3 linked regions of the Sus scrofa genome follow. The protein of the gene in region 3 purifies or fractionates together with the protein of the main gene of each other region. This does not show direct contact. Links are inferred from orthologs where the notes say so. Each region holds a gene or a part of one and is shown on either strand. Other genes may lie near its edges.

Evidence for each region. Proteins that work in one complex are often made in the same cells at the same time.
Region 1: the proteins of BET1 (region 3) and STX5 purify together in Homo sapiens (affinity purification with mass spectrometry; 3 studies listed by BioGRID and IntAct, with this or other methods). This does not show direct contact. The link is inferred for Sus scrofa from reciprocal best matches to the Homo sapiens genes BET1 and STX5.
Region 2: the proteins of BET1 (region 3) and STX7 purify together in Homo sapiens (affinity purification with mass spectrometry; 3 studies listed by BioGRID and IntAct, with this or other methods). This does not show direct contact. The link is inferred for Sus scrofa from reciprocal best matches to the Homo sapiens genes BET1 and STX7.

What each region holds. Positions count from the first base shown.
Region 1 is NC_010444.4:8,965,273-8,968,791, forward strand, and holds the end of STX5 (syntaxin-5), read left to right. Parts: intron 1-2,499; coding exon 2,500-2,659; 3' UTR 2,660-3,238; downstream 3,239-3,519. UniProt on the Homo sapiens protein: Mediates endoplasmic reticulum to Golgi transport.
Region 2 is NC_010443.5:31,226,392-31,229,910, forward strand, and holds part of STX7 (syntaxin-7), read left to right. Parts: intron 1-102; coding exon 103-155; intron 156-960; coding exon 961-1,057; intron 1,058-1,907; coding exon 1,908-1,980; intron 1,981-3,519. UniProt on the Homo sapiens protein: May be involved in protein trafficking from the plasma membrane to the early endosome (EE) as well as in homotypic fusion of endocytic organelles. Mediates the endocytic trafficking from early endosomes to late endosomes and lysosomes.
Region 3 is NC_010451.4:73,782,654-73,786,172, reverse strand, and holds part of BET1 (BET1 homolog), read left to right. Parts: intron 1-1,319; coding exon 1,320-1,376; intron 1,377-2,913; coding exon 2,914-3,069; 3' UTR 3,070-3,519. UniProt on the Homo sapiens protein: Required for vesicular transport from the ER to the Golgi complex. Functions as a SNARE involved in the docking process of ER-derived vesicles with the cis-Golgi membrane.

The DNA of each region.
Region 1 (3,519 bases), on a different chromosome or scaffold from region 3:
GCAGCTTCTGTATCCACTGAACATGATCCAGTTACTCTCAGTAATTATGACGTTTTGGGGAAACTGAAGCCAAAAGAACTAAAATCCAAGATCTCCTAGGCACGGTCAGATGGTCAAATAGTCCTTCTAGTTCTTGAGTTCTCTATCTTCTTCCATCAAACTCCTTTTTTGTCATTCCCACCTTATACTTACCTTCTCGTCCTCTGGCTGTCCATGCCTCTGATAGCAGTTTCATCATCCATCCTTTGTGTTCAGCAAGACTCCAGCTTCTTATTGCTTAATTACTTCCCTCTATGGTTTTCTTTCTGTAAAACGTTGCGAACTGTTCTCCTCTCTGTTTTCCTCAGTCTTTTCCCTCCCAAGTCATTATTTTCTCCCCATTCCTTTCTGACTTTTAACTCCCCTACTGATTCCTCTGAATATCCCACTGATGCCTAATTTTATCACCCCTAGATTTCCCTTGTATTAGTTTTCATTCACGGTCTCCCATTTGAAATGTTTTAGGAGTTCCCTTGGAACTGCAACCACTTGTGTCACTGCTGTGGTTCAGGTTCAGTCCCTGGCCTGGGAATTTTCACATGCTTTAGGCATGGCCAAAAAAATAAAATAAAATAAAAATCTTCCATATGCCAGATTGATTTGATTGCTTTTCCATTTTTGTTAAGCAGAGCCATTATGATTGTCAGTGTGAATGAGCTTTATTGGCTATGGGATGACAAATGCATCCACACTGAGAAATGTAATTATAGCCCAAAGCTGGGAAACCTGATACGTTTGTTAGCTTCTCTGACATAAACAGGGAATCATACAATTCATGCTCCAGTGTTTGGCCAGAGATTACCTGATAGTCTCGTGACCACCTTCCCAGGACCTTGGACTTGCAGTCACCAGCCCAGCCTTTCCTCTCACTTGCCTACTTGATTCCCAGCCTTCACCAACTTTTCTGTCCTCACAGCGCACGATGGTTTCTGCTCCCTGCGACTCCCTTTGCAAAGACCAGGGTTCATATTTCGTTTTCAGGATTGCACATGCACGTTAGCTGGGAAATGTTTTATTTTCCTCAGCAGCCTCTCAAGAGATTGCCATTCATTCTTCTGAGGACTTCTCTATATCCTGAGAGACATGTTCTAATATCGGGCTTTTCTTTTCTTTTCCTTTCTTTTTTGGCCATGCCTGTGGCACGCAGAAGTTCCCGTGCTAGGAATCGAACTCAAGCCACAGCAGTTACAATGCCAAGTTCTTAACCGGTAGACTACCAGGGAACTCCCTTGGGCTTTTCTTTTTTTCTTTTTATGGCTGCACCTGCAGCATATGGAAGTTCCTGGGCTAGGGGTTGAATTGAAGCTACAGCTGCTGGCTTACACCACAGCCACAGTAATGCCAGATCTGAGCCACATCTGAGACCTACACGGGATCCTTAGCCCACTGACAAGGCCAGGGATCGAATCTGCCTCCTCATAGACACTATGTTGAGTTAACTTGCTAAGCCACAGCAGGAACTCCCCTGGGGCTTTTCTTTATCTCCTTTCTGTCCGTATCATCAAGTTTTTCTTCCTTTCTCACTCAGAACCAGGGTTTCCTGACCATAATGGCCTGTGACCTTTCCCCCGTTATTACAAAGGCAATACTGCTTATCAGAGAAAAATCCATAAATACTGATGTGCAAAAAATTATAATGACTAACATTTTGGGTCCTTTTAGTATGAGTTAGGCACTCTACTCATTTAAGACTGACAGCAGCTAGAGAGGTGTGGTTTGTGTTATCTGAATTTTCTCCTTTGCAGTTGAGGAAAATGAGACTTGGGGTTAAGTGACTGGCTTAGGGTCATATGCTACAGAGCTGATTTTCAAACCAGAGCCAAGATTTGTTTATATTACCCTTCCAGAGCATTTTCTGGAAGGGTAATATAGATATATTTTTTTGTTTTGTTTTGGTCTTTTGTCTTTTTAGGGCTGCATCCACGGCATATGGAGATTCCCAGGCTAGGGGTCAAATAGGAGCTGTCGGTGCCGGCTTACACCACAGCCACAGCAACACAGGATCCTAGCCACGTCTGCGACTTATACCACAGCTCACGACAACAAAAGATCCTTAACTCACTCACTGAGCGAGGCCAGGGATCAAACTGGCATCCTCATGGATGTTAGTCGGGTTCATTAACCGCTGAGCCACAATGGGAACTCCCCTCTTTTCTTTTTTAAACGGCTGCACCCACAGCATATGGAAGTTCCTGGGCCAGGGGTTGAATTCAAGCCTCAGCTGTGGCAATGCCGGATCCTCTAACCTAACCCACTGCGTTGGGCTGGGGATCAGACCCGTGTTTTTTGCAGTGACCCGAGCCGATGCAGTCGGATTCTTAACCTACTGTGTGCCACAATGGGAGCTCCCAGAGCTCTCCCATCTACAAATACATGTACACACACACAAAAATACATTTCAACAGCATTCCTTTTAATCAAGTGTCACTCTTTTTCCCCTCCTCTCGGCCCTCTCTCCAGGATCGACGAGAACGTGCTAGGAGCCCAGCTGGACGTTGAGGCCGCCCACTCGGAGATCCTCAAGTACTTCCAGTCGGTCACGTCCAACCGGTGGCTTATGGTCAAAATCTTCCTCATCCTCATTGTCTTCTTCATCATCTTCGTGGTCTTCCTTGCCTGAACCCTCTCCAACGCTGAGGCATTCCGTGGGGGTTTGGAACCCTCCTGGGAGGGCAGGTGGCCAGAGCTGCCACTGAGCCTGTGCAGGGTGCTTGGGAGAAAGGCCCTGTTTCCCTGGAACTGCTAAGAACGGCCACTGCCCCTGATCTCCCACTCCTTGCCTCTGGCCACCCTGTCCTCCCCTCACCATCCTCAGGCCCATGAAACACACGGTTCTGGATTTGGACTCTGCTGTGAAGTGGCTGGAAGGGAGCAGAGGCCAACTGGAGGGCTCTTCGGGGAGGTTGTCTCCACTGGAGATTTTTATAAACCCTCCCCAGCCTTTCTCAACTCTGGCAGCAAGGGGAGATGATGCCCTTCCCCACCTTCCTGAGAGTGAGGAGAGGAAGTGAAACTTCCCCAGGGACCAACTTTCCCATCTGGGTTAAAATTTACCTCTTCCTCTCTTCACCATGTGAGGCAAGGGGCCCTGAGCCCTTTGGCTGCCTACACAACCCCAACTCTGGCTGCAGATGACTCTCAATCTGCCAAATGTGCTGCGGCCCGTTTCCTCCCAATTACAACAAGACTGTCAGCCTCACTAGCCATGTCGTCATTTCGGGGTGGGAGCGTCGAAGGGCCTTGGCAGCAAGTGGAGTGAGCCCACTGCCCAGCATCATAACTAAAAGGGTTGGGCTGATGGCCCTGACGGGCCAGGCTCACTCACTCTGTGCACACAGCTGCCTCCCGCAGGGGGTTTCCAGGTGTAGCAGCACTTAGTTAGCATGGAAACTTCCCTTCAGAGGCCCGTAACAGGATCCCAGCCTGGGTCCCTGATTGACGGCAACTTCCAGGACCATCTCCAGAAGTATTTGGACCTGT
Region 2 (3,519 bases), on a different chromosome or scaffold from region 3:
CTTGTAGATGTAAATCAGTTTAGATTATTATAAAATAAAATGTGAGTGGTGTGTGTTTTTCCTGTGCACCTTCTTAATCCATTTTGTTATTATATTATTTAGGGTGGTTTTCCTGAGGAGACCTCAAAAGAAAGAAATCTTGTATCCTGGGAAAGGTAAGAAGTATAAAACATGCAGATCAAAGGGTAATTTTTGAAATACATTTTCTTACATCATGGTTCCTGGGCAGAATTAAAGCTTTCAGTATATTATGCCATGACTATCCAAAGTTATTTATGAATAAAAAATAAATAATAAATTTGAAAATTTTTCAGAATAATTATTTATTATAAAATATGTAAACATAAAAATTTCCAATGTAGCAATACTTTTAAAATAATTATCCAAATAAACATTGACTTAATTATTATTTAATATAGATTATTCCCATGTGTGAGGATTAAGTCAACCAAGGAGAAATACTCACCTGCCAAATATAATAGCTTCCAAAAAGTTAAATAATAACTGAAAAATAATATCAGTGAAATGACAGATGAATAAAATTTGGTTAACATTTTTATCCTATTTTTAGAATTTAAGTGAGTAATTTTGTTTTTTATTTATTTATTTTTGCATTTTAGTGCCGCACCCACGGCATATGGAGGTTCCCAGGCTAGGGGTCTAATCGGAGCTACAGCTGCCGGCCTACACCACAGCCATAGCAACTCCAGATCCAAGCCTTGTCTGCGACCTACACCACAGTTCACCGCAATGCCGGATCTTTAACCCACTGAGCAAGGCCAGGGATCGAATCCACAACCTCATGGTTCCTAGTCGGATTCGTTTCTTTTGTGCCATGACAGGAACTCCTAATTTTATGTTTTTGAAGAAAAAAATTCAATACGTATTTCTTAAATAAGAAGAAAGCCCCATTGTTTTAACTGGTTCTTCTTTTTTACTTATTGTTTTGTTTTTTAACAGCCAAACTCAGCCTCAAGTGCAAGTGCAGGATGAAGAAATTACAGAGGATGACCTTCGCCTTATTCATGAGCGAGAGTCTTCTATTAGGCAACTTGAAGTAAGCTTTATAAAGTTGGACTGCTGCTCTGTTCTTAGTGAGTTTGTCCTGAAAATGCTTAGATGATGCTAGGAGTGAGATCAAAAAAGATAACTAAAGAAATCCATCATTTTGGTGGCACTTTTTATATAAATTAGAATAATTTCTTTTTTTAAAAAACTAGTGATGCTTTAGAATTTCTCCTAGGATGAGATAATGTATTTCCTTCCACTCCAGCTTTTTTTTTTTTTCTTTTTTAATTCTGTTAGGTCATCTGAAGGCTCCTGAGCGTTGAGAAAATATCATCTAGAGATAAATGTTTGCTTAAAGGGTCTGAATGGCTCCTGTGCCATATGATACACGTCACACCTGCATGAATAAGACTTTTTCCAAGGGCTTTAAAAGTATTTTATTTCTTTTTAGTATGTGCAGGATATCAAAGAGGTCTAAAGGGTTCAGTAGCCATAGTTCTTAGAGAACTTTTTCCCTAGAAAATGGGCTAATAATAGCCTACCATTTATTGAGGGCTTCCATGTGCCAAGCACTGTGTGATAAATTCTTTATGTTAACTGTCTCTTTGAGTTGACATATATTCAGCAACCCACAGCCCTTCTCTATTAGCTAGATCCTTCACTTCTGTCCCATGTGGCTTGATATTTTTAACATCACAATCTTATTTTAGAGAACTAGTTACTGTTATTCAAAGTCTGCTTACCTGGGATTGCTTATAGTAAAATAGTTTCCTGTGTGTTATTAAGTCTAGATGCATTCTCACCTGGGTATGAGTGGTGGCTTGGGTTTTTAAAAAATGTTCCCCTTTTGTGGATTGGAGACTGAATTTCTGATAACAAAGTACACTTTTTTCTCTTAGGCTGATATTATGGATATTAATGAAATATTTAAAGACTTGGGGATGATGATTCATGAACAAGGAGATGTAATAGGTAAGCTCTGCTCATTATATTTCGTGAGGTGGAAGCAAGCTCCATGCCGTTTACCTGCTGCAGCTTCTCAAGCCAGAGTAACTCCTTCCTCTCTCTCTTTCGGTCCTCCAACAGACAAAACATCATCCTTGGCAGTATCTAAGACACATCTTGTTTTTGGCTCCTACTGGTTGAAATGACCAGCTGCATTTATTTAAGAAGTCCCAAATTTAATTAGGGTCTGCTGCTGCTGAGCTTATGGAAGGTGCTATGTAGCAGCATTCTAGCTTGTTTCCAGGACCTCTGGTTTCTGCCTTATCCCAGTTTAATTCTCATCACACCAAGGACTTTAGGGGAAACTTCTATTCATAATTGTCTTTGCTACCTGTCTTTTAGAATAGAGGGAATAGGAATAGGTGGCCGTTTGCATGATCCTTTATCCTCATAGCTTTTTTGGTAGATTAATTTAGTAGTATTACTTAGATACTGAGAATTTTTTAAAGAAAAATCAGTGACTAAGACTTCTATTAAGTGTAATCATAATTCATTAAAGGTGTAGTTGTCAACATTGATCAGGATTCTGATCATTTTTATTATTTTGAAATACAAAAATATTAGAGGGTATTGCTAAAGATAGATTTAATGTATTTTCTGAATTTTGGTTCAGTTAAAAATACTTGTATCTACAGTTTAATGTAATTATTATCAGTCCAATCTTACCCTCCTCTGTATCCCCAGTAGATCACAGGGTAAAATTTCCCAAATCATTGTATGTATTTATAGAATGCCTGCTATATCAGGCATAATTCTAGACACTGGGGATTCAGTTAAAATTAAACGACATATAAACAATCTTAAAATCTAGTTGGAGGTGAGAGACAATTTTAAAAAAAAGAAAAGTAAGTAAAGGGTGATAAGTGTTACAAGGAAAATAAGGCCAGGTGGGGGATGGGACTCTGGGTGGTGGGGAATGTGCTGCTTTTCATAGGGGAGTCATATTAGGCCTCACTGATAGGTGACATAATAGTGAAGAATTCACGGAGGTAAGGGAGCAAGCAAGAGAACGTATGCCAGGCAGAGGAAACAGCAGGTACAAAGGCCTCTGGGCAGAAGCATACCTGTCACCTGAGGTGAATGGAATGAGCAGGGGGAGATGGAGACCATGTCAGAAGTCACAGGGGACAGCATCTTGTAGGACCCCGAGCATCATGAGGACTGTCGCTGTTACTAATAGAGGGGAAGCCACGAGAGCGTACGAGCAGAGGAGGGCTGTCATCTGACATAGGCTTTAAGAGGCTCACTTTGCTGGGTCGAGAACAGACTGCAAAGGGACAACCAAAAACAAACCGCTTAAAAGGTTCCTGCAGGAATCCAGGTGAGCAGCTGTGTTGCCTTGGATCAGGATGGAAACAGTCAAGTGGTAAGAAGCAACAGGATTCTGGATATTTTTTTTTTTTTTGGATGTAGAGCCAAAAAGATCTACTGACTGTCTGATAGGGGTGAGAGAGAGTTAATTCAAGGTGACTCTAAGGTTTCGGCCCAGGTCACGATGGTGGTGCC
Region 3 (3,519 bases):
GTAATTAGTTTTATATTCTACATAGCACTTAACATAATTCCTTATAGTCATATTGAGTTAATATGTATTAAAGGAATTGCAAAAAGCTAGTTTTAACAGTGTATATGATTGATTCTGCATTAAAATAAAGATGCTATATACTATAGAGCATTCACTGGAAGATTATGTTGCCAAAACTTAATTGGTATTTCATAGTCTTTGGAAGATAGAATTGTGTTCAGCCTGGAGACTCATATTCTGACATGAGTATTGTTTTCGTGGTCATATTAAATCAAAAGGAGTTAATCTATGAACTAAACAATGTTAATAATTTAGAAAATATACTACTTAGAGGAAATTAAATGATTTTTTAAAAAATTAACATTGATAATTTTGGTTCCTTGTTAGAAGAAAGCTTTTGTTTTCCCTGAAATTTTCTTTCTTTGGCACAAATGACAGCTGAATTAAGTGATTTGGACTGTCTAGCTTTATAGATGCTTCATTTTCCCTGAATTGCTGAATTTGAAGAAAAAGCTCATATTCTGATATATAGAATTCTACAGTGGTTTTGGGTAAATATTACCCCATATGCTTTCCACACAAAATAAGTTGACAATATTTGCAATGGTTTGCCAAAATTTTCAGTAGTTTCCAAGATTTAGTAATAGTATATTTATTCAGATATCTTAGAAGTGAAGCCTTTGATGAATTTGTCATATAAAGTGTTTGGTTTGGTTAGTAGTTGTAGCCACTTATTTCATTTAGATTCAACCTCTGTTCTGCATAGCTTCTGGATATGGATAACACCAGCTTGTAAAATTTTTTTCCAATTTTTTATCATACTTTAAAGAAAATACCTTTAGAATCTAATAATTAATTTAGATATATATTCAAAATATTGTCACATTTCTTTAGGAAAATATTACTTATATCTGGATTTGAATTGATAATATGGGAACTTGTATGCATTTTTAAAATGTAAACAAATAAATATGCAAATAAGTGCTGTTGTATTAATAATATAAAGAGAGCAAGAATGTAAGGATAAGAGAACCAGAGAGAAGTATGTACCAAAATCAAAAGATAGACTTAAACATTAGATGAAATCAAAATGAAGAACAGGGAGACAATGTCCATAGTGGGAAAGGAATAGAAATTCTAAATTTATTTTCCATTAATTTCAGTGGGAAAAATATCAAAAGAAGACAGGTATATTTTATATTTTTAGAATATGATTTTATTTGAGAAAATGTTTATGCTTCAAATGACATCATTGTTTTTACTTCATAATACCTAAAACATTTATATAAGCAAAAATGTATATGCTTTCTTCTTTATAGCTTTCCATTGAAATAGGCCATGAAGTTAAACATCAAAATAAATTATTAGCTGAAATGGTAAGTGATTATGATTTTAACATTAGGAAACTTCATCTGATAGTCTCAATTTTGGTTTGGAATAGATCTAAGATTTGTTTTTGCCATATTTTTACACTTTTCATCTTGCCTAACACATATAAGCAGGAGGAGGAGGTGGAAGCCCATGTATTCTTTAATCCTGTGTTTAGAAACAGAATTAGACTCAGGAAAAATCTCTGTTTTGAGCTTTCTTAAAGATCTCAGTGGATGGAGACTGCCAAGTACTCAAAAGTTCTTTATATCCAACCAACAAAATGACTTTCACTTAATGTAAACCTCTTTCTTTTGCTTGATTTCCTGAGGATCACTTGGAACAAGTCAATAAGATTTGAACATAGTAACATTATCTGGAGTCTAAACAAGCCTTTTATCTGGAGTCTAAACAAGCTCAATAACATATACCATTTCTTGTTAGAGGCGCTTTCCATTCTCTAATGTTATTTTGGATGTCAAACTCCTGTGGACCTTCCCTAGTTTCCTCACATGCTTTTAAAATTTATACTATTTAAAAATGTATGTTGCACTAAAAGCAATCTCCTTGCAAAGGTTGTGCATTAGGATCACTTGAGGAACTTTCTGAAAATATTTATGCGTGGTTCTCACTCTAAATATACTGATTCAGGAGTTCTCATTCTGGGCCAGCAGGAACCTCTCTATGCCACAGATATGGCCCTAAAAAGAATGAATGGATGAATAAACAAACCAACACACTGATTCAGAATTTTAGAGGGAGGTACCTAGTTGTCTATATTTTGAAAAAAGCATCTCAGATGCTTCTGATACATAACCCCAATAAGGAACCATAGATCTAAGGTGCTTGAACTACATAGAACCTGAGCTGTACAAAGGTTGTCATTATGCCAGGATGTTAAGATTTATTTGAAAGGGCAATGTTTCTAATCCATACCTGGTCCTCTTAAGGACTTTTTCAGCTATGTTTTAATGTGGTGGTTTTTCCCCATCCATATTTGCCATCTTTGCCACATTTTACCACCTCTAGAATATTCTGTTACCTGTTAATAGACTCTGCTGACCTTCAACGTCAGCTACCTGAAAAAAGGATCTAAAAGTAAAGGTATGTTTAGCTGCTAACCATGTTTAATTTTGGATGAATTGCTGTACTTGGAAGCAGCTAGCCATTTGACCTTGAAGAGCAATGCCCTACCAATAAGTGGGAAAAAACCCGTGTGGGTAGATGAACTACTTGCTTTTATTGTTAATGCTTTTTCATCCACGTAATTAGAGTAAGATCTAAATACTTTGGAATTTTGAATTACTTTGAAGCTGGAAAAAATATTTACTGGATGATGAAAGAGCTTTTTATTTATTGAGAAAATTACTCTATTTTGCATAATCAGGCTGATTATCTAAGTTATAAACAGGCTCTTGAATTAATTAAACACAGAAAATGTCATTAAAAATGTGTTCTAATAACAATATATTAAATTCCTTACATGTGCATATGTAGAATATCAGAATCTAACTACTATATTTTGTTTTCCTTTTCTCCTCATAGGATTCACAGTTTGATTCTACAACTGGATTTCTAGGTAAAACTATGGGAAAACTGAAGATTTTATCCAGAGGGAGCCAAACAAAGCTGCTGTGTTATATGATGCTGTTTTCCTTGTTTGTCTTTTTTGTCATTTATTGGATTATTAAACTGAGGTGATGCAAGTAAGTGTGAGTTTGGAATTTGTTCCAACTTAGGCTTGGAGTACCACTTTGGTAAAAAATCAGCATCTAAACATTCCTAACTTTCAAATACTGTGGCTTTTTCCATTGAAGATTATTGAATTTTACTTGTTTTGTAAGTCACATTAGATAATACAGTGCTCATTGAATACTGTTTCTTAATGATTCCTTTTTTGCCCCTATTTTCAGGGGTATTAAGCTGGTCTGAGGTCAGTCTGGCCCTAACATTTTTCTTTCCTATTTTTTACTGTCAGATTAAATAGCAGTATAGTATTTTGTCATTACCATAAATGTAGGTTTCTGTTCCATGTAAAGAAACTTAGTGGGAGAATAACAGAATGCCTTGAGAGCCTGACAGCGGGCACTTGAAGTGGTGAGCAAGTGTGTGATGGATGGTAAATGTATTTTCCTGAACTGTCATTGCCCC